4 linked regions of the Drosophila melanogaster genome follow. Each later gene encodes a partner of the first gene's protein in a complex. Each region holds a gene or a part of one and is shown in the gene's direction. Other genes may lie near its edges. The genes, in order: Mgtor, PCID2, Nup107 and Nup160.

Region 1 (6,889 bases):
GGAGAGCGGTGGTCCGAATGTGGAGCCACCGGACGGCGGTTACGGTTGGTTCATCGTCTTTGGGGCCTTCTCCGTGCAATTCTGGGTGGCCGGACTGGTCAAGTCGTACGGCGTGCTGTATGTGGAGATTATGGAGACATTTCCCAGCTCTACGGCCACCGTGGCCTCCTGGATTCCAGCGATCCTGTCGGCTCTATGTCTGGTCCTGGCCCCGCTGTCCAGTGCTCTTTGCCAGCGATTCTCCTGCCGAACGGTGGTCTTCGTCGGCGGCATTTTCTGCGCCATGGGCATGATACTGAGCTACTTTGCCACCAGTCTGCTGCACCTCCTCCTAACATTTGGCGTACTCACAGGTGCATAATGTATAATCAATTTAAATTTATCCTCATCACATTAGTAATTATATTTATTTAGTTATCATGATGTTTATATTTAACTATTTCTTCACGCCCAGGTATTGGAGGTGGCCTCTCGACTACTCCGGGCATAGTGATAGTGTCCCAATACTTTGACAAGCACCGTGCATTGGCCAATGGAATCTGCGTTTCGGGCACTGCCGCCGGCAGCTTCATCCTACCCGTTCTGATAAAGCACCTCGCGGAGAACTGTGGCTTCCACGGCACTATTCTGATCCTGGGCGGTTGCATGCTTCACGTGTGCGTTTCGGCCACACTTTACCGCCCAATCAGTGCTTACACGGATCAGGACTCGGGCCAGGGACAGGAGGAGACGGCAAAGCCCCTCAACGAAGACATCAATCCGAGCACCACGGGCATTCTGACTACATCCACCTACCTAGACACCTGCGATGTGGGTGCAGGCCACGAGCTGAGCGACAAGTTTATCGAGCATCTGTTCCTGGAGGAGTCCAAGAACCACCTGAACTACTATGCCAGCAAGCAGCCAGGTGGGAGTATTATTTCATCGAGGAAAACTCCAAATAATAAATCCCATTTGGTTACTTAGCCCAGGACAAGTCAGCGCAGGAGAGTGACGACGAGGTAAAGGATATTATTGGCGAGACCACTTTCATCAAGCCCATGAAGAAGGTGCGCAGTTCCGGATTGCTGCACTCCGTCGAAGATCTGAGCACGGACTCCACTTGGGTCTATCGCAAGCACTCCGGCACGGACTCCAATCGCGGAAGTCGTCGTCGGCGCAATGTCTTTGCCAACGACGAGGTGATATCCAAGATACAAGCCCACTTGGAGAAGCCTCTTTCGCCGCCGAGTGTGGTCAGTCGCGGACTCAGCAAGAGCATGGAGATACCCACTCCGGTTAGCAACCTCAGTGATCTCAAGCAGCAGCCGGTGGAGCAGGCGGAGCTCGGCATTCTAGACTCCCAGCTGGTGGAGTCCATTATCGATGGCGACGGCCACCTTGCCGCCGATGAGGATGACGATGACGACGAAGAGCGGGGACCACGCACTTGCTGCGAGCGCATCGAGATGTACCTGGACATCAGTCTGCTGCAGGACCCGAGCTTTATCCTGATGTGCCTATCCGTCACCTTGATGTCCGTCGGCTGTCCCTACATGTTGTACTATCTGCCCGCCCACGTTATTTCAATAGGTATACTATTTAAAATGTTCAAAGTATATTCTTTCGGCGTACGATTTTAAATATTATAAACTTGGTTCATCTTTAGGATACAATAAAAGTGAGGCGGGATACCTGGTGGCCATCAGCGCGGTCCTAGATTTAATTGGGCGCCTTGGACTTGGCTGGCTGTGCGACCTGCAGCTATTCGATCGCAAGAAGACCTACACCTTGTGGTGAGTACCAGATAAGGTTTATTTTTCGATCCAAACTAATCACATTTCCCTATATCGACAGCATTTTGGGCGCCGGATGTGCCGTGCTCACAATTCCCTTCGCCAAGACTCTGGTTTTGGTGGGTCTATCGGCCGCTGTCTACGGACTTTGCCTGGGTAGCTGGTATGTACTTATGCCGGTCCTCCTTGCGGACGTCTTTGGCACGGACAGGATCAGCTCGAGCTACGGGCTGGTGAGGATGTTCCAGAGCATCGGGGCCATATCGGTGCCTCCGCTGGCAGGACTGATGCGAGACCTTTCCGGAGACTACGAGATATGCTTCTACTGCATGGGATCCTGCATGGTGCTCGGGACCACTCCGCTGATTGTGTGGTCCATCCTGGAGGCCCGCAACCATCGGTTGTTTGTTCAGCGCGAGGAGGAGGAGTGCGAGGAGGCCTAGAAATGATTCGGATTCGTTGGTTGCCCCATATGTTAATAGTGTTTTAGTAGCGATCAAATACTAGTTGAGTTCCTGAGTTTCAGAGTTCGAATGCCTCACCGATATTGCTGATTCTACCAGTTACTATTACTACTATCCGTACGTTCTCATCCGTATCTTTGTATCTTAATCAATCCCCATGCCCACCCGCACCCAATCGCTTGTTATCCTTCCGTTGAGCAACAGCAAAAGGATGTGTAAGATGATGATATTCAAACGAAGAAACCAAACAACCTAAACAACCAACAACTGAGCACCAAATGTTGCGCAAAAAGAACTGAGTTTAAAAGACATGAACTACAAATACCCGTATATAACTTTATAATATGATAACTACGATCAATGCCCGACTAGATGGTTATATAGGCCGACTATAGTTGTAGGTTCGCACATCCATATCGGAAAGGACTAAACTTTGTGCAGGAAAAATTAAGTGGCTTTAGACAGAAGGGAGGCTTGAATGGAGAACATCACATTACATTACCCTAGAATTAAAATAGTTGTTGTGAGACATTTACCCATAAAGACAATTACCAAATAAACACGAAATCAAAAGGTTAATCGCGTTTTATGGAATTAAAGGGAATGATTTCGCTTGGTTTGGGTTTTGCATTCGTTTATGTTATTAAATAAAGTCCTTTCTTTTTTTATTCGTAATAAAAACGGATTTTTCAACCACGTTTAAAAAATTTTTTTTATGAATGAATTTATCTCTTTTTAAAGAAAAACATTTTGTTTTATTAGGCTGTGAATAGGCTGTTATAACGCTGTTGAAACAGTGAGAATAATATACTCGAATCGATAGTACCGAAAAATATCGATATTGTTCCATCTCCACTGCATTGACGTTCATTTTTTCGCGTCCCTAAAGCGACTTTGTGCACAATTCGCAAAAAATTAAGACTAAAGTAAAGTAAAAAGTAAGAAAGTAAACTTCGCACCGCTCCATATAAATTTAACCGCTGCTTGACAAGGATCAACTGCGAACATGGATCTCAGTGGTCCACAAACTCTGAACAACATACTTCAGCCCGACGAGTTGAAACTCGTGCCGGAAGACGTCCAGAAGAAATTGTCGGAGTACATCAACAATTTCTCAGATGAGTACTGCAAGAACCGTGCGGCCGCCAATCGGTTGGGTAAGTTTTTATATTTGTATATATACTAAAATGCGCCATATTTTGCAAATAACCCTTTATTTGCATGCGTATGCTTTTACCTCCAACTTTGCGGCGTTTACCGGCTCAGATACCGCTTCTTGTAATAAGCAATCCGCGACTGTATGGTTTCTAGCGTGGTAAACACTCTTGCGCCATTTACATATTTTTTGTATAGAAATTTAAATATAAAATTCCGGGTTGTTGCAATTAAAAACAATGGCTGCTTGCAGCAACATTATTTTCCTTATTAATTTTCACCTCACCGGTGTGGTAACACTGGCCGGACATTTTCCCACCAAAACAGTTGATTAGTCCGAGTTTGAAATCTTCAGGGAATTTCTGTGTATTCATTTTAATCCAAATACTTTGTGGTTACTTAAATCCAGTTAAGAAGATTATTTATTTTTGCCCTTTTCACAGCCGAAGCCGAGCAAAAAAAGGAAGAGCTGGAGAACAAAATGGAGGACTATCTAGTAAAATTTACCAGCTTTGAGTTAAATGTAAACGAGCTGCGCACTCATCTAGATCAGATGTCTTCGGAACGAGTTAACCTAATGGACACGATCGCCAAAGGCGAGCAAACTATATCACAGTTGCGCAAGGAAAAGGCGTCGGTAGTTGAAGAACGCGATTCGATGATGAAGGTAATCGAGCGCCAACAAGCGGAGCTGGAACGATTGAAGCAGGATCTGCACACCTACCAGCAGCAGCTGAGCAGCGCGATTGCTGCCAAGTGCGAAGCCATTGCTCGCGTGGACGAAATTCAAAGTAAGGAAGTGGCTCTGGAGCTCAAAGAGAACCGCATGGAAAGCGAACGCGATATGCTGCACAAGGAGATTTTGTTAATCAGCGGAGATCTGAACAAAAGCAACGCCGAGTTACAGAACATCCGACGGGAGCACACAATAAACACCATGCAGCTACAGTCTTGCCTTAAAGAAAAGACCGAATCGCTAAAGCTGATGCAGGAACAGTACGAACAGGCCGTCAAGACCATCGGGGAACTAACCAGCAAGATTGAAATGCAAAACGACACCGCCTTCAAGCAGAACCAGGCCACGGAAGAGTATGTGGGGAAGCTGAAAAAGGAACTTGATGCCAAAGAGAAGCTTTTTGAAATCTTTAAGAGCACCGAATCCGATCATCTGATCCAACGGGAGGAACTCCTACAGGGCATCTCCGAAATTAAACGTTTGTTAGAGGAGGCCGAAGAGCAGTGCGCCCAGTTGACGGAGCAAATGGAAACCATGAAGCAAAAGCACAGCGCTGAGTTGGACGAGCAAAATAAGAAGATTCAGGCTATGGAACAGGAGCTAGCAAGTGCCAACGATTTGCTAAAACAGGCCCGGGAAAGTAATTTGGAAAGCGCCATATGCCAGTTGGCTCCCAGTGCGGCTGTGGCTAGTCGCCTTATCCGCTCCGATCTATCGCTTACCGAACTTTACTCCATGTACGCCAAAAGCAGCGAAGAACTGGAGATGCGAAACTGCGAAATTGAGCAGTTGAAGTTGCAGCTCAAGTCGATCATTGCTGAGATTTCAGAGAGTGCACCGATTTTGGAAAAACAGAACTCCGATTACCAAAAAATGAAGGAAACTAACAGTGAGCTCCTGCGGGAGCATGATGAATTATTACAAAATAAGCTATGCCTTGAGCGGGAATTGGAAAGGGCCTTATCTACCCTTAATCACAACCAAAATGAGAATAAGAAACTAAAACAGACACACACCGATCTCAGCCGACAGGTGTGCATGTTGCTGGACGAATTGAACTGCATAAGGGCTGGAGTGAAACATGTACGTATCCAACCAACTCGTCAGCTACCCACCAGCGAAAGTTTGATCAGCGATAACTTGGTAACCTTTAGTTCTATTGAAGAGTTGGTGGATAGAAATACATACCTCCTGAATATGTCCCGCGAGCTCACAGAACTTTTGGAGGCTAGCGAAAAGAACCAAGATAAGATGTTGCTGGAGCAGTCTAAGAATCACATAAGAAAACTGGATGCGCGTTTTGCCGAATTGGAGGATTTATTAACGCAAAAGAACAATACGGTTACTACACTACTATCCAAGTGCGACCGCTACAAGAAGTTATATTTCGCGGCTCAGAAGAAGCTCGGTCAAAATACTGTGGATCTGGACGACTCCAATCTGGAGCCTAACGACTCTGCACTGGATACTTCAGAGCAGCCGGCAGCCAATTTTGAGGAGAGCAGGAAACTGGAAAAGAGGGTGCGACAGCTGGAGCAACAGTTGGAAGGGGAGGTCAAGAAGTATGCCTCACTGAAAGAGAACTACGACTATTACACTAGCGAAAAGCGTAAAAACGATGCACTGGCCCAAGAACAGTTCGATTCTATGCGTAAGGAGGTGCGGGAGCTAACCAGCAGTAACTGCAAGCTTATGAACACCACCGAATTCCAGAAAGAGCAAATCGAACTACTTCACAAAAATATAGGCACCTACAAGCAGCAGGTGACTACATTGGAAGAGCGTACCAAGAACTATGAAAAGACCATTATTAAACACGAGCAAACCGTACATTTGCTCAAGGACGAAATGATGGCGGCACACCGCAAGCACGCAGCAGCCGATGCAGAGGCTCAAAGCCTTCGCCAAGAGAACCGCATTCTAAGGGACACATCTTCTAGACTGCAGATCGAAAAGGAGACTTATCACCGCGAGCAGCAGAGCCAATCACTGCTTCTAAACAGTTTGGAATTCATAAAGACCAACCTTGAGCGATCTGAGATGGAGGGTCGCCAGCGTTTAGAGCAGCGTTTAGATGACACTGTACGGGAACTGGCTGCTCAGCGTCGTCACTTCCAGGAGGAGGAGGAGAAGTTCCGTGAATCAATTAACGAGTTTAAGCGACAGGCGGAGACGGCCATCAAGTTGAAAGATGAAGAAAAGCAGCTGGCAGACAAGTGGCAAGCGGAGCTTACCAGCGTTCGCGAAGAACTTGCTGAGAAGGTCAACAAGGTCAATGAATTAAGCAAAAAACTTCAGGAAGTTCTGACGCCCACTCTAAATGACAACCCCATCACTGCAGCTAATAAACGAGCACGAGAGTTCGAACTTAAGCTGGACCAGGCCACGGTGGAGATTGAGTCACTCACTAAAGAGTTGGCAAAGACTCGTGAGCATGGCGAGCAGTTCTACAAGATGTCTCAAAGTGCCGAAAGTGAGATCAAGCGTCTGCACGAGCTTCACGGCGAGTTGGTGGCCAAGCAGGAGGAGGAAATCAAGAAGCTTCGCAGTTCAGAGGCTGAACTGAAGACCCGTATAAGCGATTTGGAAGCGGAGGCCATGTTGTCCAATGTCACCGAGCAGAGCAAGACTGTCAACCAGTCGGGTCAATTAAAGTCAGCCCAAGACGATCTAAAGAGCTTGCTGGAGAAGCTTACGGAAGCTAATTGCACCATTCGGACACTGCGTAGCGAAAACACAAGCCTGGTTGAATCTCTTAA
Region 2 (5,776 bases), on another chromosome or scaffold:
ATCTTGTTAGTTAATCTGCCACTCTAGATAAGAGTAGAACCCCGTTACTATGTGCCCCAAATATATAAACGTTTGTGGATTACAAGTATCTGGAAATGATGTGGCACATATTGCGAAAAGTTTCCACTGCCCTAAGAAGGTAGAAAGGGTCACCTTGACGAAAGTTCATGGAGATCTTCAAATCACACATCTATTCACCATGGTGTGCAATAATTAGCATAAAGGCAGCAAAATATCGGTTATTTTTGTAATATAGCTGCTAGATTCGACGCTTTGCAGCAGATATAGCATTTAATATGTACATATGTATGTACATACAGACTGACCGGCAAAATACAGCCGGCAAACTATCAGCAAAGCGACGCTTTTTTATCCCCTATGTGTATTCTGGCATCAGTGCAAAAAGAGCTGGGCAAAAAACGGGAAATCGTGGGCAGCGGAAAACTACCCGATTGTGGGAAGCAGAACTCACAAACACAATTGCATTGATTTGCAAGTGGTATAATGTATAAAGTAGTGCAATCACTTGATATTCTACTTACGCCCCAGGTTCCCAGTCCAATGATTGGGACTTCCTTGCCGTTGTTGAATTTAACGTTCGGTACAGCCATTGTACTATATTTTCGCTTATTGTTTAAGGATATTTATAAATATTTATAATACAATTGGGAATCTTTTAACGATTGCCGCCTCTCAACAAACTGAGCGATTCCACTCAGCTGTTAACCGCTTATATACGCACCGCAAAAGCTTGTTCGAAATTCTAAAAAGCTTTCGGAGGACAGGGCTGCATAGTCGACAAGCCGAACAGCTGAGCGATCGTCAGTTACGCTTAAATATCGAGTGCTGATATACTCTCTATATAGCATAAAAGAAAATATATATTAAACTAAATCAATTAAAACATTTAATGATTTCAATAAATGATACTAAAATGTATCATTTTACATATGTTATGATCGCTATAAAATTTCAAAAGCCCTTCAACCATATAGGCTCTTTATGATCGCTATGTAAAAATTTTTATATCCATATCTTCGTAAAAATATGATTATTTATCAAAACTATGGCATAGATATGAAAAAACAGACATTGTCATAATATTTACATTGAAAGTTCCGAGCCCAATTACTGGAATCTCATTTCCGTCCAAGCAAACCACCTTGGGAGCTCTAGCATACTCCTTCTGACACCTACAATATTTGTGGAAATTATACTTTTGATGCTTTGTTCGATTTGATTTTCCTATATATTACCACATAAATCGCTCTGGTTTCCCATAATTCCTCAACGTAATGCGAAAAACAGGCCTAACCAATTGAATTTTCATTAGAGTGTTCATTTTGCACGCCAGTAAATTTTAATTATTTGTGTAGAGACTTCTTGACGGATGGAATGCAATGGCTACTTGGTTTTAGTATTGAAGCCTAAATGAAAAATAGCAAAATAAATGTGTATATAAAAATAAACAGCCACATTTTAAATACAGCTTAAAATGCCCACCAACTCAAAGGCTACAATTCGATTTTACACACAGCAAAACAGTTTAATTATATTATATTATTATATTGTATAACAATAATTATGCTAGACTTCTCAGTATAAAGGAAGTACCTGGACATCATCAGTATAACTCTGCAGATCGCCGCATACAATCTTACTTATCACATTAAAGGCAATCAGTTTAAATAACTACTTGTACTTCTAATATTAATTAATATTAATTATCTACTTTGGCTTTGGGTTCAAATGGATGATGAGGATGTCCATAGGCCCTAGGAGAAAAATAGAAAGATTCGAGATATTTCAAGTTAAAACCTAGGAAATGAAAAGAGCAACACCTACGCCTTCATGGTCATAAAACGCCCATTGCAGTCCAATTCGTTAATGGCCTGTATGTCATCGACGGCCAACTCAAAGTCCCAGATTCGCTTAAAGTTGTCCAACATGTGCTGTTTGCTTACTGATCTTGGGATGACAATTATACCCGATTGTGTCTGAAAGCGTAGGAGCACCTGTGCCGCAGTCCTTTCGTATTTCTCAGCTATAGCCAAGATGGTCGGATGCTGGAGCAGTGGATAAGCGCCGGGCTTCTCGTAGGGCGTATGTCCCGATCCCAGGCAGCTGTAGGCGGTCACAGCAATGGCATTGTCATAGCACAGCGTAATCAATGGCTTCTGACTAAGGTACGGGTGGCACTCGATTTGAAGAACTACCGGTTTAAGCTTGGCCACACTGAGAAGTCTATTCATCTGCTGCTCATTGAAGTTAGACACACCGATGGCCTGGCACAGACCCTCGTCCACCAGATTCTCCATTGCACGCCACGTGTCCACATAGTCGATGTCCTCGAATGCGGCCTTATTGGTGTCCGGACACGTGGGATATAGGTTGTCACTGCCCGACTTGTAGGCCATGGGCCAGTGCATCAGGTAGAGGTTTAGGTACTTGACTCCCAAGTTCCTTATGCTTGTCTCACATGCCGGGCGCACCAAATCCGGCTTGTGGTGTGTGTTCCAAAGTTTGCTCGTGATGAAGAGTTCATCTCTGCAGTGCAATATGTATTTATGGCTTAGATAAACGATTGATTAGGCCTGAAAGCAGCACTTACCGTGTGACCACTCCCTCGTCCATTTTCTCCCGGAGAGCAGCTCCCACTTGCGCCTCATTGCCATAGATATGAGCGCAGTCAAAATGGCGATAGCCTATATCAATAGCATCCTTTACTGCTTGGGTCACCACTTCCGGCGGGCTCTAAAATGGCGAATAAAACGTAAAAAGCTGAGGTGCATCAAAAGCTTTTGCTTGACCCCGAAGAGCTTTGACATTGACCGTGAAATATGCAGTGGAAATGCACATTTCAGCTGGCTATTATTTAATAACAATATATATCTATGTAAAAGTACTTACCCGCCAAGTTCCGAGACCCAACATAGGCATATTTTTACCATTGCTCAAGAGAAAATTCGGTGTCGACATGTTTGAATCCTTTTGCTCCTTGTGAAATATGTTGTTGCACTGGCTTCGTTTTTGGAAAGCTTTAATTTGTAATTTACTAAGTGAACTATACTCAAAGGCCTATTAAACTGGCTAGAAACAGCATGTCTTGTGACAGCTCTGCTATCACAACTATATGTACGAAAATTGTTTAAATTTAGAATCTTTTGGGCAAGCAAAAGACCTTCGCGGAATATAATCGATTCGCTGCAGAGGGAAATTTTAAAATTTAAAACAAAAAACTCTTTTTCTGCGTTCAGAGTTTTATTTTATAAACCGAGTATAATGTAAATAAATACCTTTTTTTAATAAAATAAAATAAAATGTTAAAAAAAAAACTTTTGAAAAAATATTCTTTGTATTATCGCGTTATAAAAAACAAAGACAATCGATAGAAGTTTCCGATGAAAACATCGCATTCGCAGATAGTGCCTGACCTACCATCTCTAATTTTGCCGCCTGCGAAAAACACAAACAATGTTCGGCACCGTAAATAACTATTTATCCGGCGTTTTGCACGCCGCCCAGGATTTAGATGGCGAGTCCTTGGCCACGTATCTCTCCTTACGAGACGTGCACGTTCAGAACCACAATTTGTACATTGCCCAGCCGGAAAAGTTGGTGGATCGATTCCTGAAACCGCCACTGGACGAAGTTGTGTCCGCCCACCTGAAGGTGCTGTATCACCTGGCACAGGAGCCTCCTGGTTACATGGAAGCCTACACCCAACAGTCGGCAGCCTGCGGAGCCGTTGTGAGGCTTTTGCAGCAGCTGAAGGACGAGAATTGGTGCCTGCCACTAATGTACCGCGTGTGCCTGGATCTAAGGTACTTGGCGCAGGCCTGCGAGAAGCATTGTCAAGGATTCACACCTGGCCACGTATTGGAGAAGGCTGCCGACTGCATAATGGCCTGTTTCCGCGTTTGTGCCGCTGATGGACGAGCTTCAGAGGAGGACACCAAGCGTCTGGGCATGATGAACCTCGTAAACCAGCTATTCAAGATTTATTTTCGAATCAACAAGTTGCATCTGTGCAAGCCCCTTATCCGTGCCATCGATAATTGCATCTTCAAGGATTCTTTTCCGCTGCCGGAGCAAATTACCTACAAGTATTTTGTAGGTAGACGGGCTATGTTCGACTCCAACTACCAGGCAGCCGTACAGTATCTGTCGTATGCCTTTAGCAACTGCCCGGATCGGTTTGCCAGCAACAAGAGGCTCATCCTCATCTATTTGGTGCCAGTGAAGATGCTGCTGGGATATCTGCCCAGCAAATCCTTACTGCAGCGCTACGATCTCCTGCTGTTTCTCGATCTGGCTATGGCCATGAAGGCTGGCAATGTGAATCGCTTTGATGAGATTGTCAGGGACCAGGAGCTGGTGCTGATCAGGAGTGGTATCTATCTGCTGGTGGAGAAGCTCAAGTTCCTCGTGTATCGCAACCTGTTCAAGAAGGTGTTCGTCATCCGGAAATCGCATCAGTTGGACATGGGTGACTTCCTCTCCGCCTTGCATTTCGTTGGCTTAACCGATGTTTCTCTGGACGAGACGCACTGCATCGTGGCCAATCTCATTTACGATGGAAAGATTAAGGGGTACATCTCACATGCTCACAACAAACTGGTCGTGTCGAAGCAAAATCCATTCCCCTCAGTGTCCCTTTAGTGCATTTTGTAATTATTGTGAATTTTTAAGAGTAAAAGAATCCAATTTAATCAGTGTATTAGTTTACTGGATGGGGCATGTGAATGGAGGGCACCAACGATGAGTATAAGACCTGAAGACTTTGAATTTAAAGTACCTTCAATTCTATTTGGTTATAATTTTGTTTGGTTTTTCGAAACCTATATGTTTCAAATCAACTTATGAACTAATAATATAATTTTTGGTTATAAATATGTTTATTTTTCAACGGTTTTAAACTAATACCACTTTTTAAACTTAATCGAACTTTGGAATTGATATATATCGATTTTTGTGCTCGAACCGATGTATCGACAGCGGAATCGGTTTCGGTCACATCTCTAGGTCCACCGACTATCACTCATCTCTGAACTTTTTGGAACGCAGCTGCATGAATTGTCGTAGTTGAGCGAATTTAAACAAATTAACACAATACTTGTGGTATTACCTGGTAAATGATTAGAGCCTCATTCGCGCAAAGTGTACATAAGACAAGTGGCGAAGATTAGATCTAGTTAGCTAGTAACCATTTCTCAGCCGGCGACGTGTTGTCATTTTCGCAATCGTAAAATCAATATTACTAATTTTGCTTTGCGTTTACAACGTGACATAACTAAAACGCAAACTACAAAGTGTTTCTTTTTCACTGCATTGCAGAAATCCGCTGACACCGAAAAAAGCGACGAAAGCAGCGCCAAGTCGCCGAATCGCAGAGTACCTGGAATAGGAATAGTGCGTCCCCAGTAGAGGCTAAACTGAACAGCAGACATGGCTGCGCCGGTCATTGTCGAGGCCACGGTCAAGCAAACCGCCACGGTGAGTAGTCCGCCGTAGTCCAAATTCCGGAAGCCCTCGACTAATCACTTGTGTATTGCAGCTGATCTTCATGCACGGCCTGGGTGATACGGGGTAAGTGGGGTCATCCTCATTCAAAATAATGCTCCCAAAGACTTCATTCACAAAATATTGAAGTATGCGAAACAGAAATATTTGCACATATGAAATTAAAAGGATTTTAACGCTTCAGTTCCTATGGGAAAAAAAAACAATTTATAAGCGCTTAGGGTGTTCTAGATTCAAGTAACTGATGAGAAGC
Region 3 (7,248 bases), on another chromosome or scaffold:
TCCTCCTGACAGCCCACGTCCATGTCGCCGAAGTCCTCGTAGTACATGTCAGAGTCTAGCAGGATCTGTTCCTCCTGCAGCCCGAGAATGGGATAGCCCGGATTGGTGAGAGCGTCCTCTGCTGCCAGCACTTCCGTTTTCACCTCCGCCGGCTCCTCTGGTTCATCTTGTTCCTCCTCCTCATCCGGCGGTTCCTCCGCTTCGTCGGGCTCTTCTTCGTCCTCGCCGGTGGAGTCCATGGCTGGCAACTTGGGCTGCTGCGGTAGCTGCATCTGATGCGGCTGTTGTTGCAGATGCTGCTGCTGTTGTTGTTGCGGATGTTGCTGTTGTTGTTGCGGAGGTTGTTGCTGGTGCTGTTGATGCTGCTGCTGATGGTTCATCTGCTGCAGGACGCACTGAACCCGCTCCACATAGGCTTGCTGCTCCTCTGCACTGCACTTGACGTCTGGAATCGCTCCGCCCGGCGCCGTGTTCATTCCGGACTGCTTCATCGTGTCCAGCAGCGCTGCGTGCTGGCTGTGCACATGGCTGGCCAGTGCAGTGGCATCCGCATGCAACGATCCGCAGACAATGCAAACGAGTGTTTCGTGCGGCTGCTTGGCGACCAGCAGGCCAGGCGACGTGGATGCGGAGGCGGCCGAAGCCATCTGGTGCGCCTGGATGTGCTTGTTGAGGTACGCCTGCTGGCTGTACGACTTGCCGCATATGGGACACGGGTAGGGCTTCTCGCCCGCATGGATCTTCATGTGAACACTCAGACTGGAGGCCTGTGTGAAGCACTTGTCGCATAGCTTGCACTGGAACGGCTTTTCGCCGGTATGGATGCGCATGTGGATGTTCAGGCTACCCGACTGCGTGAACGAGCGGTCGCACAGCGAGCAGGTGAATGGCTTCTCGCCCATGTGGTTCTTCATGTGCTGTACCAGCTCCGAGCTGGCGCGGAAGGCCTCGCGGCAGATGGCGCACTGGTACACCAGCTCCTGCGTATGCATGCGCATGTGCTCGTCGAGCAGCGCCTCCGCCTTGAATTCGCGCTCGCACTCCGGACAGATGAACGTCTCCGTGGGCGCGATGTGCGTCTTCTGGTGCAGCAGCAGCGAGCTGTAGTTGATGAATCCCTTGTCGCACTGCACACACTGATGCGGCTTGCGCACCGAATGCGAGCGCATGTGCACCATCAGGCTGCTGGACTGCGTGAAGGCCTTCGGGCAGAGCTCGCACTTGTACGGCTTCTCGCCGCTGTGGATGCGGATGTGCGTGTTCAGGCTGCCGATGTGCGTGAATGTCTTCTGGCAGATGGAGCACTGGAACGGCTTGTTGGTGATGTGCGAGCGCACGTGCTTGGACAGATCGCCGGCGTTGGGAAAGCTCGCCTCGCAGTGCGTGCACTGGAAGCATTTCTGGTTGCCATTCAACGCTGGATCCATCACGGGTGCACCGATGTTGCTCCGCCTTCCGCGCCGCCGCTTGATGGGCGTCGATTGCAGGCCCAATCCCGGGCTAACAGTGGGTGCCGGTGGTAGTAGCTGCTGCAAGGGCGTGACGCTTACGGTCGGCTGCACCATGAATATGGAGGTGGACTCCCGCGGATCTGTCATCTGCAGCTGGAACTCATTGTAGCCCGGACCGGCAACCAGGCCGTGAAGTGGCTGCACTGACTCCTGGCTCTGCTGGGTATTGGAGTTGCTGGTGGTCGGCACCGAGCTGCTTGATGAGCTCGAGTTGCTGGAACTCGAACTGGAGCTGCTGCTGTCGTCGTCGTCATCGTCATCGTCGTCGTCCGACGACGAGGAGCTGTCGGAGCCCGAGGAGGCGCTCCCATCCGACGAGTCGCTGCCATCCTCCGCCAGCTCGCACACCGGCTCGAATATCCAGCTGTAGTCCTCGCTCTCGTCGCCCGGGCTCTCCTGCTCTTGCTGTCCATTGCCCGGCTCATGGGGGTGCAGGGTGTTCATGTGCTGGTACAGCGCCAGCGGATGGACGAAGAACTCCGCACAGCACATGCAGTGGAAGGTGAGATCCGGCGGCTGTGGCTGCTGCGGTTGCTGCTGGGGTGGATTGGGTGCCTGTTGCGGCAGGAGGTGCGTCTGCTGCAGGATTGGCGTGATCGTCAGGGGCAGGTGGTGGTAGCTCTGTTTCAGCTGCACGGCCATCTTGCCAAAAGGCTGTGCAAATCAAACAACAAAAATCACAAGGAACACAAGCGACGAGCGTGTGAACATTTTCTCTATAATAAAAATGCGCGTTTGCGGGGAGAAAAATCAATGCCGTACCTTGGGTGAGATTAGATGCGAAGTGCCGTGGATCAGGGGTTCCGTAGACTACTATTATATCACTGGTGTGTGCTGTTGCTCAGGTTCCGTGCTTTTGTGTTTCTCTCAGGGCTCTCGTCCACATTCGTCCACTGCGTTCCATTTTATGCGCCGCCAGCGAAATGCGAATAACTTGCTTCCTGTTTTCGGTGCTCGCTTGTTTTTGAATTTGGCTGCTCGGTTCCGTGGGTCGCCGGAATCGCGTACCGTCCTCCGACCCGTTGTCTGGTTAGCTGCGACTGCCAGGAGCTGCGACTCGAGCGAATGCAGCGCATCGCCCAATCGCAATTCTGCAGAGCCAAAATCGCAATTGCAAGCGTCTTCGCCGTGCGTACAACAAATAAAAGAAAAATGTTTTATGTTGGGCGGCCCTTGCACGATTGGACGGCAGCATATCGTCATGCAAGCGTTTCGTGCACGTCGCCAGCATGATGACCGATAAACCGCGCAGCTTCAAATTCAAACCGCAATCGATTGTTACATCTTTCGAAGGTTTTAAACATTTAATAATATTTAATTTAATTTCGAGTGCCTAAATCTAAGCAAGTTTTATTATTAGTGTTTAATTTCACTTAACAAGTTGCTAAAATTATTGAATTGAGCCCTAACATCTTAAATAATATTAATATTAAATATAAACTGCTCATCTCGTTCCCCTTGGATTTTCTTTCTTGCCAAACTACAGGCTAGTCAGACTAACAAGTTGGAAAATCCAGAAAGCAAGCAACGTGGATCGTTCCTTTTCAAGTAAATACGAAAAAGGCTACCAAAATGGAAATGGATTACTATCTGCCAGTGTATAACGGATCAAATTCGGTGGACGTGCCGGGGCTGATTGAAAGTCTCAAGCTGAAGGAAACCAGTATATCGCCAATCGTGCTGGATCGCTATCCGCCGTACTCCCCGTTCTATGGCGTGATGGGCGTCGTATTCTCCAGTGTGCTGACCTCCGCTGGAGCGGCCTACGGAACTGCTGTTTCCGGAACTGGAATCGCCGCCACAGCGGTGATGCGTCCCGAGCTGGTGATGAAGTCCATCATTCCGGTGGTCATGGCGGGCATCATTGCCATATACGGTCTGGTGGTATCCGTGCTCCTATCTGGGGAACTAGCGCCTGCTCCCAAATACTCGCTGCCCACCGGCTATGTACACCTGGCCGCTGGACTTTCGGTGGGATTTGCTGGACTGGCTGCCGGATATGCAGTGGGTGAAGTCGGCGAAGTGGGCGTGCGGCACATTGCCCTGCAGCCACGCCTCTTTATCGGCATGATCCTGATCCTTATTTTCGCCGAGGTGCTCGGTCTCTACGGCCTGATCATTGGGATTTATTTGTACACGGTCAACATTAAGTAGCAGAATTTGTTATATCTAAAATATTTAATTCGTTAAGAAACGTTTTTATCGATCTTTAATATTTGAAATGCCTTTTGAATTTCTTTACGCGATTGTGGTACTCATTTCAGGTACGCCGTTGCGGTACGCGATGGAGGTACCCCATACTAATGATTCTACGGAATGCTGGTACCTTATTCTTTAGCAGCTTTGCCGAATTACTAGATATGTAAACAATTTAAATCAATTTGTTTCTTACGAAATTTGCTTGAATTCAGTGAGAATCGCTTATTTACAAGTGTATGTGCAAGGGAGCTTTCTTGCTGTTCCGTCATCTGGTAACACTGAACGCTCCCGGCATTTTTAGCGAATAGCGCGTGAATTTCTGTTTTGATTAAATTAATTGAATTGATGTGCCGTAGCTGATAGCCAAGAAACGCATAGTGCAGCCATGGCCGACAGCCCGTTCCCGAGGAGCAGCCGCAGTGGCCTGCTACGCACGACGCTGAACAGCTCGATGCCGCCGCAAAATCTCTCCCACTCGCTGCTCATCCTCGAGAAGAGCAACGCGGAGCAGAATGAGCTCTCGCTGATGGAGGACACCGGCGATGATCTGGATCGGGGCAAGAGCCGCATGGACGTGCTCTTCCCGCAGTTCTTCGACGTGCTGCAGGCTCAGGGTAACGGGCAGGAGGCATTCGAGGTGATCCAATCGCTGACGCAAGTCTGTCGCGGCGTGGTGGAGCAGCTGGAGCTGGAGATCGATCACGGCATGGGTGGGGAACAGGGCGCGCGGCAACGCGAGTCTATGCTCACCTGGCTGCGACAGGAGATAAACACGTGGCGCCTGCTGCACGCCCTCTTCTACGACCGCATCCTGCTGCAGACGGACAGGCAGGCGGATGATGAGATGCAAGATGGCCCCACGCTCGGCGGCAGCGAGAAGGAGGTCATACAGCAGTTGTACGCCCTCAATGCGACGCTGCGTGAGTACCAGCTGGTGGTGGACTGGCTGGAGGCGTGCTACGACCGGGGGGAGCAACAAAACCCACTCCACGCCCACGATCGTATGATGGCGTGGGAGAACACGCTCTTCCAACTGGAGAACCTGCAGGGCGCCGCCTTTGGCAAGGGCCATAAGATCGTAACGCGTCTGGATCCAGATGCTCCCGTACGCGAGAAACGACCGTTGCACGCCCTCGACGAGGAGGACAACCTGCGCCTGTCCCGCGCCATTTTCGAATTGATACGAGCGGGACGCGTCGACGATGGCCTCAAGTTGTGCAAGCACTTCGGACAGACGTGGCGGGCGGCGATCCTTGAGGGCTGGCGTCTCCACGAGGATCCCAACTTCGAGCAGAATGTCTCGGTGCTGCACGAAAAGCTGCCCATCGAGGGCAATCCCAGGAGGGATATCTGGAAGCGCTGCGCGTGGATGCTGGCCGATTCCAAGAACTATGACGAGTACAGCCGCGCGACGGCGGGTGTCTTCTCCGGCCACTTGGGCTCGCTGAAAACCCTTTTGCACAGCAACTGGCACGATTTGCTCTGGGCCCATCTGAAGGTGCAGATCGACATCCGTGTGGAATCGGAGATACGCGGCTGCTGCCTCAAAAACTACCAACCGATGCCCGATGATTACTGGAACGGCAGGATGACGATGGAGCAGATCTTCGAGGAACTGAACGTTGCCAAGGATGCGTCGGTGCGGGATTTCGCCCAAAGTCAACTGGGCATTATCCAGCGTCATTTAATCCTGGATACTTGCGGCGAGCTGATCCAACACATGGTGCGCTGGGTGGAGAAGGATACCTCCCAACAATCGCCCCATCAATTGCGCTTTATGGCCCACATAGTGCTCTTCCTGCGTCAAATCGGCCGTGTGGAGCAGGAGCGACAGGCGGAGAAGATCGTAGCCGCATATGTGGAGGCATTGATTGCCAGGGGCGAACCGCAGCTAATAGCCTACTATACTGCATCGCTTTCGAATCCGCTGCAGGTTCAGCTCTACTCGCGGTTTCTGGAGCAAGTGGAGCAGAAGCGTCCGCGGGAGCTAGCTGTGGATGCCGCCCTGCAGGCGGGCTTGGATGTGGAACAGATCACACGCGTCACCGTGCAGAATATTCGCCTCGCACATCAGCCACTCGGGGAATTCGGTGAGCCGCAGTCCGGCGAGATCTCTGCAATCGATCAGCGCAAGATCTCAGCATTGGAGTGGCTAATCCATTTGCCGGAGCAGCGCGGTGAGTTGCTGTGGCAGGCCAACGCCATGATACGCACCTATCTGGCCAGCAGCAAGGTGGAGTGCATGCGCCAGACCTTCCGCATGGTGCCGGCCGACATAGTGCAGCAACTAGTCAGCTTGTACGGCTCGGTGGACAACATACCACCGCGTGAGGAGTGCTGCCTGAAGGAGTATCTCTGCTACAAGGCGTATCTGTCTGGCGTCGACAGTTTCGTCGAATGGAACCGCCTGCAGCAGAACAGGCCCAAGAAGCCACAGACTTCACACGCAGCTTCCTCGCAGGACAACTTCACGGAGCGCATGGCGAGTGAGCGCAAGGAGCAGGCTCACCGATCGGAAGTCGTGCGCTGGGAGCACAAGGTTAAGGAGCAGGCCAAGCGTAAGTGGATCGCATACCCATTAATGAGATCTTTTGGCATATAACCCGCATTCTTTCCCTGCAGAAACCATCGAACTCCTGTACAATGTGCTCATGTTCCCGGACAAGGGTTGGCTGGTGGATCCGTTCATCGCCAAGCTGCCCGAGAACGCCGTGCAGCTGAGCTGGGATCATCGCCTACTGCAGATGGAGAAATTGCGCTCCATCTGCATTCCTGAGATCGCCCTGTTTCTGAACGAAGTGATGTTCAAGTCGGGAGACTTTGCGGGTTGCGTGCGCCTGGCAGATGAAATATCCAGCGAGAATCGGCAGTTGTACAAAGTCTATACGAAGCACAAGCTGGCAGAGCTTCTGGCCAAGATCGCGGACGCCTCCCTGGAGCTGCTCAACTCGAAACTGGATCCATGGGGCTATCCTATAACAACTTAGCAATCCTAGTACATTTGTGTGTTTTGCGATTACATTCTAACTTTAAACGTTTATTATTTATTCACTGTTCAATTATACAACTAAGGAGGGGGACAAATGGGAGGTAGGTAGGATGGAGGGCTTAGGAGTTGTTGTCCACGGCGGCGGCGGAGGCGTTGTTCTCGTCGCACCCGTTGCTATGCTTTAGTAGGTAGGAGGCCAGGAACTGTATGGGATCCGTGGGCCGTTCGCGAGCCAGGGCCTGCATTCCGTGGAGCAGAACCGGCGCCACCGTCTGGTCGAGGTACTGTCGCGTGGGCATGTTGTTTGTCTCGCTACTGGGCTTCTTGGCCACCGCCGGCTGCTGTTGCTGCTGCGCCACTGGATTTGTGGACTGGCCAACGGCAATGGCTCCGGATGGAGGAGCTCCCGGCGCAGCGGTCGGGTTTGCTTGCGCATTGCTGCTTGCATTTGGCTCCTTGCCAGCTTCTGCCGGCGGATTTGTTGTGGGCGCTGGTGAGATGGGTGCGTCGGTCTTGGCCTCCATGGCAATGTGTTCCTTTTGTTCAGCA
Region 4 (9,530 bases), on another chromosome or scaffold:
TGTCGTTTACCCTAAAAGTTTTTATGTTGCCAACCTATAAAGTGCATGTGCCTGCATATATTTAGATTACCTTGTGTTTATGAATTATTTTAAACATAAAATATGTTTTGTTAAGTTGCTAGAACAAATTACCGCACAATTTCTTTAATCTATTCCCATGACTTTCGAATCTATAGAGATACTTTTAAAAACAGCAATTGCATGACGATCCAATATTAAATTCTAATCTCTTGTTGAATCATTATAACAAACCAATCATGAATAAATAACAAATATAAGATACGTATCAATCATAAAAGCTAAACTATGGAAACCAGCTTGTTTTGAACTTTTACAACTTAATTATAGATTTATTTAATGATTTGAAATAATGTAAACTGTCAAATAGCTACTTATCAACGTTGCTATGGAAATAAAATGCTAACATAAACCTGTATCCATATTCAGCGTCCTCTGGTTGCCAAGACATATAATTATTTGGCTAATAATCACTTACTAAAACATTTTTAGTTCCACAAATGAATTTAAGCTTCTGATTAACATGCGATTGACCTTATTTCACAGCATTTATTGAACTCTCAGGCAGAACTTTAGCCACTTTCCGTGGCTCCTTGATCGTGGTCTGGGGGCACTGCATCTCGCTCCAGCCGACCGGCACCATGGGCACCCGGGTCTTCCGGTAATCACTGGCATAGGCGATGACCACGCCGAGTTCATTTTCGGCGGTGGTCAGGAGGAAGGACTGCTCCAGTTGGTTAATGACCCTCGCCAGGATGACATCGCCCGGCCGGAAGGACTTGTAGATATCGACGCGATCTTTTTCGGTCTCCCGGACATCCTCCTTGCGCAGAAGTCCGCGGTAGCTGCTTTCCAGCAGCACATTTCGTACGCAGAAAATGGCGCACTTGGCGAATTTTGGAGTTGTGACGAGAACTCTGGCTGTGACCACGTCTCCGGTGGCTGGGATGGTTAGATGAAATCCGGGCTTATGCACACTAACCACCTGGCACTGAAATGGAGATTAATTGGTTCCCAGAGTCAACGAAATGCCAGGATTACTTACTTTATCACCCGAATCTTCGATGTTGACAATTCCAGACTTGGAGGCGTAAATGTAGCCATTCTGCTCGTAGGTGCCTATGCCCAGGACTATGCTGTCCTCGGTTCTGCAGAGTCGCTCCCCGGGCAGGCAGACTACAGTCTCATCCTGCTGTTCACTCATTTTTAGGCCAGAGACAGTTTTTATTTTAAAAAATAAACTAAATAATAAAGCCGCATCAACAAATGGAAACACACGTGCAATGCAGTGTGACCAATATGTGGCAATTGTTAAAATGCTAGCGACAACTTTCTTAATATCACAAGATTTAAAGGCATCTTATATCATTCCTGCTTTGCTATAATAAACTTTATTGTCATGAAATTACATTTAGGAAAATGTACAATTTTTAACTAACTTCTGTAATTAACTTTTGTATGTGAGTATAAAAAGCTATGTCGACTATTTTGCCTGGTGTGCACCGCTGGCGTAAGCGTTTTCCAACACTACTACTGAGCGTGTTTACGCCGGTGCCGCCAATAATTTTCCGTTTTCGTTGAGGTTTTTATATTAATTTGTTGTGCTAGCAAGATGCCCACATCCAAACTGCAAGCCAACATGAGCTACCGCGAGGTCATACCGCGGAACCTCAGTCCGGCGGAGTGGATCGAGGTGAAAATTAACACGGGTGAGTTTCGTGCAAGATTGCCAGAGAAATTCTGAGTAACCAAATGCTCCTCCGCAAAATGTAGGAACCCAGAGCACTTTGCAGGATTTAAAAACCTTCGAAACCTCCGGCGGCTATTGCTACAAGAATACGAAAAATGTTCAGACCAGAAACCGTTTCATATATTGGTAAGTGCAAATCAGAATCGTTAAATTAGTTTCACATGGCCACTGATTTGCAGGCGGACATACCAGGATGTCCTGGAACTATCAGAGGTTAGTTTGGACATCTCCCTGCAGAGGAATCACCTGCGTCTGCGATTCACCGACTCCGCTGTGCTGAATGTATCACTCACGGAGCAAGGTACATCCGTCACCCTGCTGGTGGTCACGGTCAGCAGTGTGCATCGCTATGTGTTTCCCTTGAAGGTCGCTGGGCAGGAAGGTGGCGCAGCTTCTCCAGAGGATCTGCTATCCCAGTCCATTTTCTACGACGTCAATGACAAGATCAATGATCCCAGCACTTACTATGTCACGGATGGCTTTGGAACTATGCCCAACGCGGCTGTATCGTACCTCACTCAAGACTCCCAGTCAGCCTACTTTGCGGTGGCGTATCAGAGCAAACTACTGCTTCACGTTATGAAATGCTCCACCGGCCATACTATCACCCACGAAATCAAGGAGCCGAAGCTAATGCCATGGTTTCTGTCGAATCTCAAGGGTGCCCTCACGTAAGTGGATAAACCTCGATAAATGGCAAATCCCTAATGTTTCATTAATCATTGTAGCGGCCGCTCTGAAACGTTGGAGGCAGCCACGTCCATGGCTTTCAGTGAAATCGGGGGGGAAATTTTCATTCTGGTTCTGTATCGCAATAATGAGCTGCGTCTATGGTCAGTGGATAACTTGCAGACTGTAGCCAGCATTAACTGCTCCACCGAACTGGGACAGGACTCAGCAGCTCAAGGACGTGAGTATAAAATATTATTACGATTTAGATTTATGATCTAGATATAATGGGATTATATTCTTTTTTTTAACAGCACAAAACAGCCAGCTCCGAAAAATAAGCGATCAAAACTTCTGTCTATTTCTCTCGCACAATTCCCGAGCTGAGTTTATATGCGTTAGCATAATGCCCGATGCCGACGATGCCAGCGTTATCAATTTGGTGCAGAACATGGTGCCGGCGCCGCAAACGGATTTGGTCGACTTCGATGCCACATCCTCGCACATCTGGGCCCTTTGGAGCAACGCTGAAGGCGATTTCCATGTCTCGGCAGCATATTTTGCCTCCAACAACGCAATCAAATGGGTTTCGGCTGCTCTAGAACCGCCACCGGATCGGTATTGTCTCACCATGGAGCAGGGAGTGGATCCACGCGAAACTTACTGCAGCTATATATTTCATCCTGGTCGATTTGACCGAAATGTAATTGCCAAGGCTTTATATGTGAGTATAACCAAAACATTCTTTATTATGAATTATTGGAATAGTTTAGTAATTTGAATTTTTTGTATCGTAGATGTTCAGACGCGTTAACCTGCAATTCGATGTAAAGCAACTTTCCATGTCAGTGCTCAAGGAGCAGGTATGCCAGGCCGTGGAAGATGAAATCCAAAACGAACTGAAAGACTTTGTGGTCACCGATGAGGAGTACTTGGAGATATCCACTCGGCTGTGGGATCGCTTTTACTCCTGCTGCGAACAGTATCACATTAAGCTTTCCGAGCCGACAGGACTCGCCGTTCTTGGTGGAATGGATGCAGTATGTTTGGTTAGAAGGCAATCATTCGCATTGCTGCGCCCCTGCGAAGTGCTCGAGCACCTGTTGCTCATCGGCGAGCATAACGATGAAGTGGCGACATATGTGGCGCCACTATTTCGCAACGATCCCGAAATGGCCAAGGGTTTTGTGGAGCTCATGAATGTGGTGACACTGCTTGATAAACTAATTTCGGAGGACATTAAAATCGAGCTAGATAAACAGCTTTACCAGCGGGAGTCACCGGTTGAAGTAATATCTAAGCTGGTGGCTAGAATCAGTATGATCGATGATAATGGTCCAATATTGCCATCAAACTGTGTGAGGCAAATCCAACAGAAGCTGCAGAATATACCAAATCTTGAACCCGCTTTGGAAATGCTGCTCGATGTGCTGTGTATGATTGATCCAGATGAACCGCCGCATGGTAAATTACTTATAAATATATATAATGTTTGAAAATGATTCATATATTTCATTTCTACTTTATAGATTACTCCCTTTCTACGCGCTTCTTGCAGTCGTCTGGGGCTCTAATGGGTAGCGAATATGGACTTTCTATTTTGTCCGAAACAGTGAAGCAAATGGCAATGATACGGTGAGCTTTCGTAATAGTTTAAAAAACTTTGAACTTGGTTTATCATTTATTAAATCATGTGTCCCTAGGTTTTCTGTTTGCCGAAACCTTTTGGTATTGCAGTACATGGCTTATGGTCAGAACGAAATGGAAAGCGAAAATGTTTTAACAAATTTAAATTATTTGAACTCATATTATACACTGGTTTGGATTGCCGAGACACCCATTTCATCGAGTACCCCAGCTGGATTGTAAGGATATATAATTGATTGTATTGCACAGTTCTAACTTCTATTTTAATTTTAGCGAGGCATCTATTCAACGATTGAGCCGCGCCCAACTTTTCAGCGGCTATAATCGACCATACTCCAGCCATCTGAAACATAATGGGAACGATCAGACCACTCTGCTCCGACTGTTCCTGGAATCGAAAGGTCTGTTCAGCGCCTTGACTATGCTGCTGAAGCATGACAGTTTGTCGCTGGACTCGGAGCAATTGAATCTACGCCAGTCTTTGCTCCAACTTGTTGGATACATCAATAAGATGCTGTGCGTATAATATATAGAAAAATTGATCATGTTTTAAGTTTCAAACATCTCTTAGTTGGCCGGGATCTCCGATTTACGTATTTCCGGAATGGTTATTTGGGACCTGTCATCACATCATTGTTCAGGATTACGTGCGCATTTTGTCAAACTGGTGTTCCGTACAAAAACATGCCAGTATGCATTATTTGCTAGTTTTCCCAGCTTTGAAATTAATCCTTTTTTTCCGCAGGACGCTTTATGCTAGCCGTATCTCTATTGGATTGCGGTGAGGCCCACAAGGCCGTGCATCTCTTTCACGAGGCGGAGTCTGGCATTGTGGAGGATGACTTCCTCTTTGAGCATGTACTGAAAAATACCCCTCTATACGGCAAATTACAGAATAGCGTCAGCCGTGGCGATACAATTTCCCCCGAAGACACAAAACTGGCAATTGTTCACTACTATCTTAAGGTTATCCAGCTCTTTGAACAGCATTCCGCATTGGACTACATTATTCAACTGGCTGACATGGCCATTAGGGTGCTGCAGCCAGATGATCCTCAGTTGCCCATGTTCCAGTCAATAGTGTTCAATAATCATCTGCAGTTGGGACACTACGTGGAGGCGTACACCGCCTTAGTCAACAATGCAGATATTTCAAGGCGTAAGGATTGCCTTCGCCAGTTGGTCATAACGCTGTTCCAGAATAAATGTCTGCCACTGCTTATGCAGTTCTCCTACATCGGGTTGCAAGACGAGTTCGAGAGCATTGTTGAATCCCGGGCACGATCAATGAGCATCGATCAGAACGAAGTCTACAACTTTTTGTATGCATTCCATACGAACAAGGGTAACATGAGAAAAGGTTTGCATAAAAATTACTTTATTTTCTTCCATTTCTTCTTGCATTAATAATTTGTTTCCGAACAGCTTCTACGGTTATGTATGAGCAGGCCATGCGGTTTCAAGTAGACAGCGATGCACCAAACGCGCTAGAGAAACGTTGCTCCTCGCTGTTAATTTGCCTAAACTGTTTGCACCTAGTTGACAGCCGCTACAGATGGATTGCCAAGCCTGTTCTTGGTGATGAGCAGGTGATTACCATAGATCAGGATAACGACGATGGTGAGCCCAAATGTGACGAGGACAAGAGAGGCCAGGAGGTGGTTGTTCTAGAGCTGGCTGATATCCGAAGGGAACTGGTGCACGCAGAAGCTTTACGTGAGCTTTCCTTCTACCGCAAAGATACAGCTGCCTACGAGCGGGCCACACCCGAGGAGCTATCATACCTGCTGGCTAGTTCCGGCCTGTACACCGCGGCATTGAAACTTTCGCGGGGACACTCGTTCTCTGTGCTCCCCATATTCGAGAGTCTGACATCCGCTTGTGTTGCTGCCACTGAGGACAAGTCGTCGGACGCCTGGAACTGGCTGCAAAACAACGACATGGCAGGTAGGGATTTTTTAACGTGTATGAAAAAAAGAGGCTTACTATATGTCTTATAACAGATCTACCTCATCGAAGTAATGCTGCCGATATGGCCTGGACTTTACTTCAAAAACTGGTTGTGGATAACGAGGCAAAAGACTCCACCTTGATAAGAAAGAGCGTGGTTCAAAGGCTTCTCGGGTTAAACGCCTTCTTGCCCCAGTGGCTGATAAACTCCTACAAGTTATCCCACTCCCGGGAACTGCTCCACTTACTTGTGAAACACAATCGTCTGCTGGAAGCCGCAGATCTGGGATGTGAAATAATCGCCGGCATGCTGGGAGCAGGTAGCGAGTATTTCGAATTCAAACACGCGGTGAACATAGCAAACCCACAGCTCTGCTTCCCCATCAGCACGATCGATTTGCTGCTGCACGGTTTAAAGATTAATGGCAAGGATGATCTTGATTATGAAATGGTAAGTCATACATATAAATTTCGTTCTACTCAAAATACATTCCAATCATATTCCAAATCTATTCCTATTTTAGGCTTACTTTAAACTCGAAGAAGAAGTTCAAAGATATATTGAGACCATAAAGCGCACCACCGATGATAAGATGAGCATGGCCGTTCTGCAGATGCGAACGGATCTTCAGGAAGAACGTTAATAGTTCGTTTAAATCAGTTTATTTAATAAGTTTTTTGAATTAAATGCTAAAGCGTGTAAATCGTTTAAAAATCATCCGTCATGTCCAGCTCAGAAAGGAACTTTTTATAGATGTTCATAAACTGAGCGACGAACGCTTCAAGATGAAAAATGTGCTTGGCGCCGGACTGCATCCGGTGCTCGTACTCGGTGGCGAACTCGAGCGTCTTTGCCTTGATGGACATATCACAATTGTTAACCAGCTGTTCGACCAGGCCGCGGAATATGAGATTAGGTGGAACGCCTTGCGTGAGTAGCTCGTACAGGCGTTCGCGGATCTTCTCCAGTTTGGCAGGCGTTTGCTCACTGATAATCTGAGATGCTGTCTCACGCAGGAACACCTGCCAGTCCAGGTCGGGAATCTCCTGATTGGCGGTAAACGGCGCCTTGGCCACCTTGGCGGCCTCCAGCATCAAAAGTGCTCGCCTGAGATTGCGCTCCGACTTGTCCACAACCCGTTTGGCCAGCTCCACGGGCAGTGCGAGTCCCTCCCGCTTGCAAGTGTTCTGCAAGATGGACACGATCTCCGTTTCGTTGGGAGCCGCCACCCGTATGCCCAGGCAACGCGACCGTATGGCCGGAATGATCCGAGATGTGGAGTTCACCGATATGATTATCCGGCACGTGGCCACATATTTCTCCATCGTACGGCGCAGGGCGTGCTGGGCATCCTTGGTGAGTTCGTCGCCCTCCGAAATTACAATCACCTTGAATTCCCGTTGGCCACTAATCTCAATTTGATGCGTCTGGGCCACCTGCTTGATGAGATCGATCACCACCGTGCGGTCGTACATGCCAGCGTCGGAGGGATTCACCTCCAAGTGGTAGTTGCTGCTGACCGTCATCACCTCTACCTTCCGATTGGATGGCGTGGTGAATGTCATGGTCTCGCTCCTCAACCGCTCAACGCCGGATCCGTACATCTCCCGTAGCAGGCACATGATGCGTGTCTTCTTGCCAGCACCCGAGGGTCCGTAGAACATCAGATGAGGAAAATCGCTCTGCTTGCAAAGGTTGCGTAGGTTCTCCGCTTGATCCTGCATCGAAATTAGCAAAAATCATAAAATAAAAAACCTTTTTAAAAAGAGATACTTTAATATATGGGCCAGCTATATAGATGTATGCGCCGGTTTCCTCGCTGATTTACCTTGTGGAAGTCCAATTTGGACAGCTCCCGCGGACGGTATTTATCCACCCAAAGTGCCATTTCGTTAACGCATGTAAAATACGATAGTAATTGGATGTATTTTAAGTTACTTTCTGACCGTAAAAGTAATTTAACAAAACAATTTAATGCGCGCCTTTTCCGCTGACTATTTCTAGTAATGCTGCAAGCTTCGATGTTTTTGATGATTATTGTCGATTTCTACGCTGTGATATCGATGTTTAGAGGTTTCATTAAATTTGCCACGCACATATTTTCAAATGATTATTTCGGCTTGAATGATTTAAAAAATTAAATACTTTAACAGATCACAATTAAAATTAATTTTAAAGTAATATTATTACATTTACACTGTTTTCGTGCCACGACTAAAACCAACGATAAAACAAGTAAAATTAATGGATTTCAAAATAAATGATTACGAAAATGCCTAAAAGACTTGAACTCTTTTATGATAAATAAACATTTGAAAACAAAAACATTTCTTGTGTTTCTGTAATAAATAACCGATTCAATGCTTCTCATGTTATGTATGGCAACGCCATTCCTCCGTTTTTACCGGTTAAAATTGGACCGCTAGCAAGTGTGACCGTGGGTTGGCGGTTTTAATGAGTTTCGGTATTCTGGGTAGAAAAAGCAGCTACCTTACTGCATCCATCAGTTTTTTTTCGCAAAACTTAAGTATCTTGGAAGTAAAATATCCGTAGAATTGCACAGAATTCGCGACAAGAACGCATGGAGAACGGAGTGGAACATGGTGTGGACGAGTCAGGCGAGAACCAGGTGCTGAGCAGTTCCGATGGCGAGGGAGACTGTGATGGTGACGGTGAAGTGGAGGGGGAGGTGCTGCAGCCGCCGCCGCCGCCGCCACTGCAAATAACAAACGATTGTGTTGGCGAAGGGGTGCAAGCGGAGGAGGGGGAGCGTGCACCAGCGACGACCGGAGCTGTGGACGTCACTCCGGACCCTGGGCCACCGCCCACGGATGGTGCAGCACCTGTAGCCATACTGGAGGACAACATGTGCGACAAGGATGTGGATAGCGATGCTGGCGACGAGGACAACGACGATGAGGTGAGCGAGATACCTTAAGCTTTTTGAAAATGTATAATATTTTCTATTCAAACCCTTTAGACCAAGGAGAACTACGAGGGCTTCAATGGCACCGGACGCACCGTCACACTGCAAACGCTGATGGCTGCCAATGTCCTGCAGCCGGGCCTGGGCTTAATGACTATCGAATATCTGGGCCAGAAGTTCGTTGGCGATCTACTGGCCGACGGTAAGATCAAATCCCATGAGACTGAGACAATATTCCTCACGCCCAGCGCCTGGGCAATGCACTGCAAGCGGATCATCAATCCGGACAAGAAGAGCGGCTGCGGCTGGGCCTCGGTCAAGTACAAGGGAAAGAAGCTGGACGCCTACAAGAACACGTATTTGCGAAAGTGCGCGTTGCAAAAGGAGACGCCGCTAGATGATTGTGAACTGGGTAGGTAAAGCTCACTTGCTTTATAATCCTTGCTAATTCCATCGAATCCATAGATGCTGAACGCAAGACTGACACCCCGGAGATTGTCGTCAAGCGAACCGTTTTCGCACATAATACCGTTTCGAATCGCAACGTAGTACAGTGAGTAGACCAAATG

Evidence for each region.
Region 2: Mgtor (region 1) and PCID2 share a complex: the UniProt entries of both Drosophila melanogaster proteins name them as parts of the nuclear pore complex.
Region 3: Mgtor (region 1) and Nup107 share a complex: the UniProt entries of both Drosophila melanogaster proteins name them as parts of the nuclear pore complex.
Region 4: Mgtor (region 1) and Nup160 share a complex: the UniProt entries of both Drosophila melanogaster proteins name them as parts of the nuclear pore complex.

What each region holds. Positions count from the first base shown.
Region 1 is NT_033778.4:11,849,511-11,856,399, forward strand, and holds the start of Mgtor (megator), read left to right. Parts: upstream 1-3,106; 5' UTR 3,107-3,245; coding exon 3,246-3,396; intron 3,397-3,837; coding exon 3,838-6,889. Other genes in the region: Sln (silnoon), read left to right, coding at 1-353, 455-907, 967-1,572, 1,649-1,775, 1,837-2,218. UniProt on the Drosophila melanogaster protein: Component of the nuclear pore complex (NPC), a complex required for the trafficking across the nuclear envelope. Functions as a scaffolding element in the nuclear phase of the NPC.
Region 2 is NT_037436.4:11,623,006-11,628,781, forward strand, and holds PCID2 (PCI domain-containing protein 2), read left to right. Parts: upstream 1-3,435; 5' UTR 3,436-3,474; coding exon 3,475-4,662; 3' UTR 4,663-4,710; downstream 4,711-5,776. Other genes in the region: Akr1B (Aldo-keto reductase 1B), read right to left, coding at 1,109-1,193, 1,257-1,342; CG6083 (uncharacterized protein), read right to left, coding at 1,721-1,775, 1,846-2,547, 2,612-2,754, 2,911-2,979; Apt1 (Acyl-protein thioesterase 1), read left to right, coding at 5,449-5,496, 5,558-5,589. UniProt on the Drosophila melanogaster protein: Required for the export of nuclear mRNAs and involved in mRNA trafficking in the cytoplasm.
Region 3 is NT_033779.5:10,732,793-10,740,040, reverse strand, and holds Nup107 (nucleoporin 107kD), read left to right. Parts: upstream 1-3,969; 5' UTR 3,970-4,095; coding exon 4,096-6,268; intron 6,269-6,332; coding exon 6,333-6,697; 3' UTR 6,698-6,748; downstream 6,749-7,248. Other genes in the region: CG12299 (uncharacterized protein), read right to left, coding at 1-2,153; Vha16-5 (vacuolar H[+] ATPase 16kD subunit 5), read left to right, coding at 3,084-3,665; Dpy-30L1 (Dpy-30-like 1), read right to left, coding at 6,819-7,223. UniProt on the Drosophila melanogaster protein: Plays a role in nuclear pore complex (NPC) assembly and maintenance. Required for nuclear import of Mad. Mediates the association between the nuclear pore complex and a subset of active chromatin regions adjacent to lamin-associated domains.
Region 4 is NT_033779.5:11,122,249-11,131,778, forward strand, and holds Nup160 (nucleoporin 160kD), read left to right. Parts: upstream 1-1,528; 5' UTR 1,529-1,630; coding exon 1,631-1,727; intron 1,728-1,791; coding exon 1,792-1,894; intron 1,895-1,947; coding exon 1,948-2,439; intron 2,440-2,496; coding exon 2,497-2,678; intron 2,679-2,751; coding exon 2,752-3,161; intron 3,162-3,234; coding exon 3,235-3,901; intron 3,902-3,966; coding exon 3,967-4,072; intron 4,073-4,140; coding exon 4,141-4,302; intron 4,303-4,357; coding exon 4,358-4,600; intron 4,601-4,655; coding exon 4,656-4,774; intron 4,775-4,829; coding exon 4,830-5,444; intron 5,445-5,509; coding exon 5,510-6,031; intron 6,032-6,087; coding exon 6,088-6,485; intron 6,486-6,558; coding exon 6,559-6,678; 3' UTR 6,679-6,742; downstream 6,743-9,530. Other genes in the region: Csl4, read right to left, coding at 554-1,009, 1,064-1,222; RfC38 (replication factor C 38kD subunit), read right to left, coding at 6,743-7,753, 7,864-7,923; CG4751 (uncharacterized protein), read left to right, coding at 8,617-8,955, 9,016-9,373, 9,427-9,514. UniProt on the Drosophila melanogaster protein: Functions as a component of the nuclear pore complex (NPC). Involved in poly(A)+ RNA transport. Required for nuclear import of Mad. May play a role in double strand break DNA repair. Essential for nephrocyte development.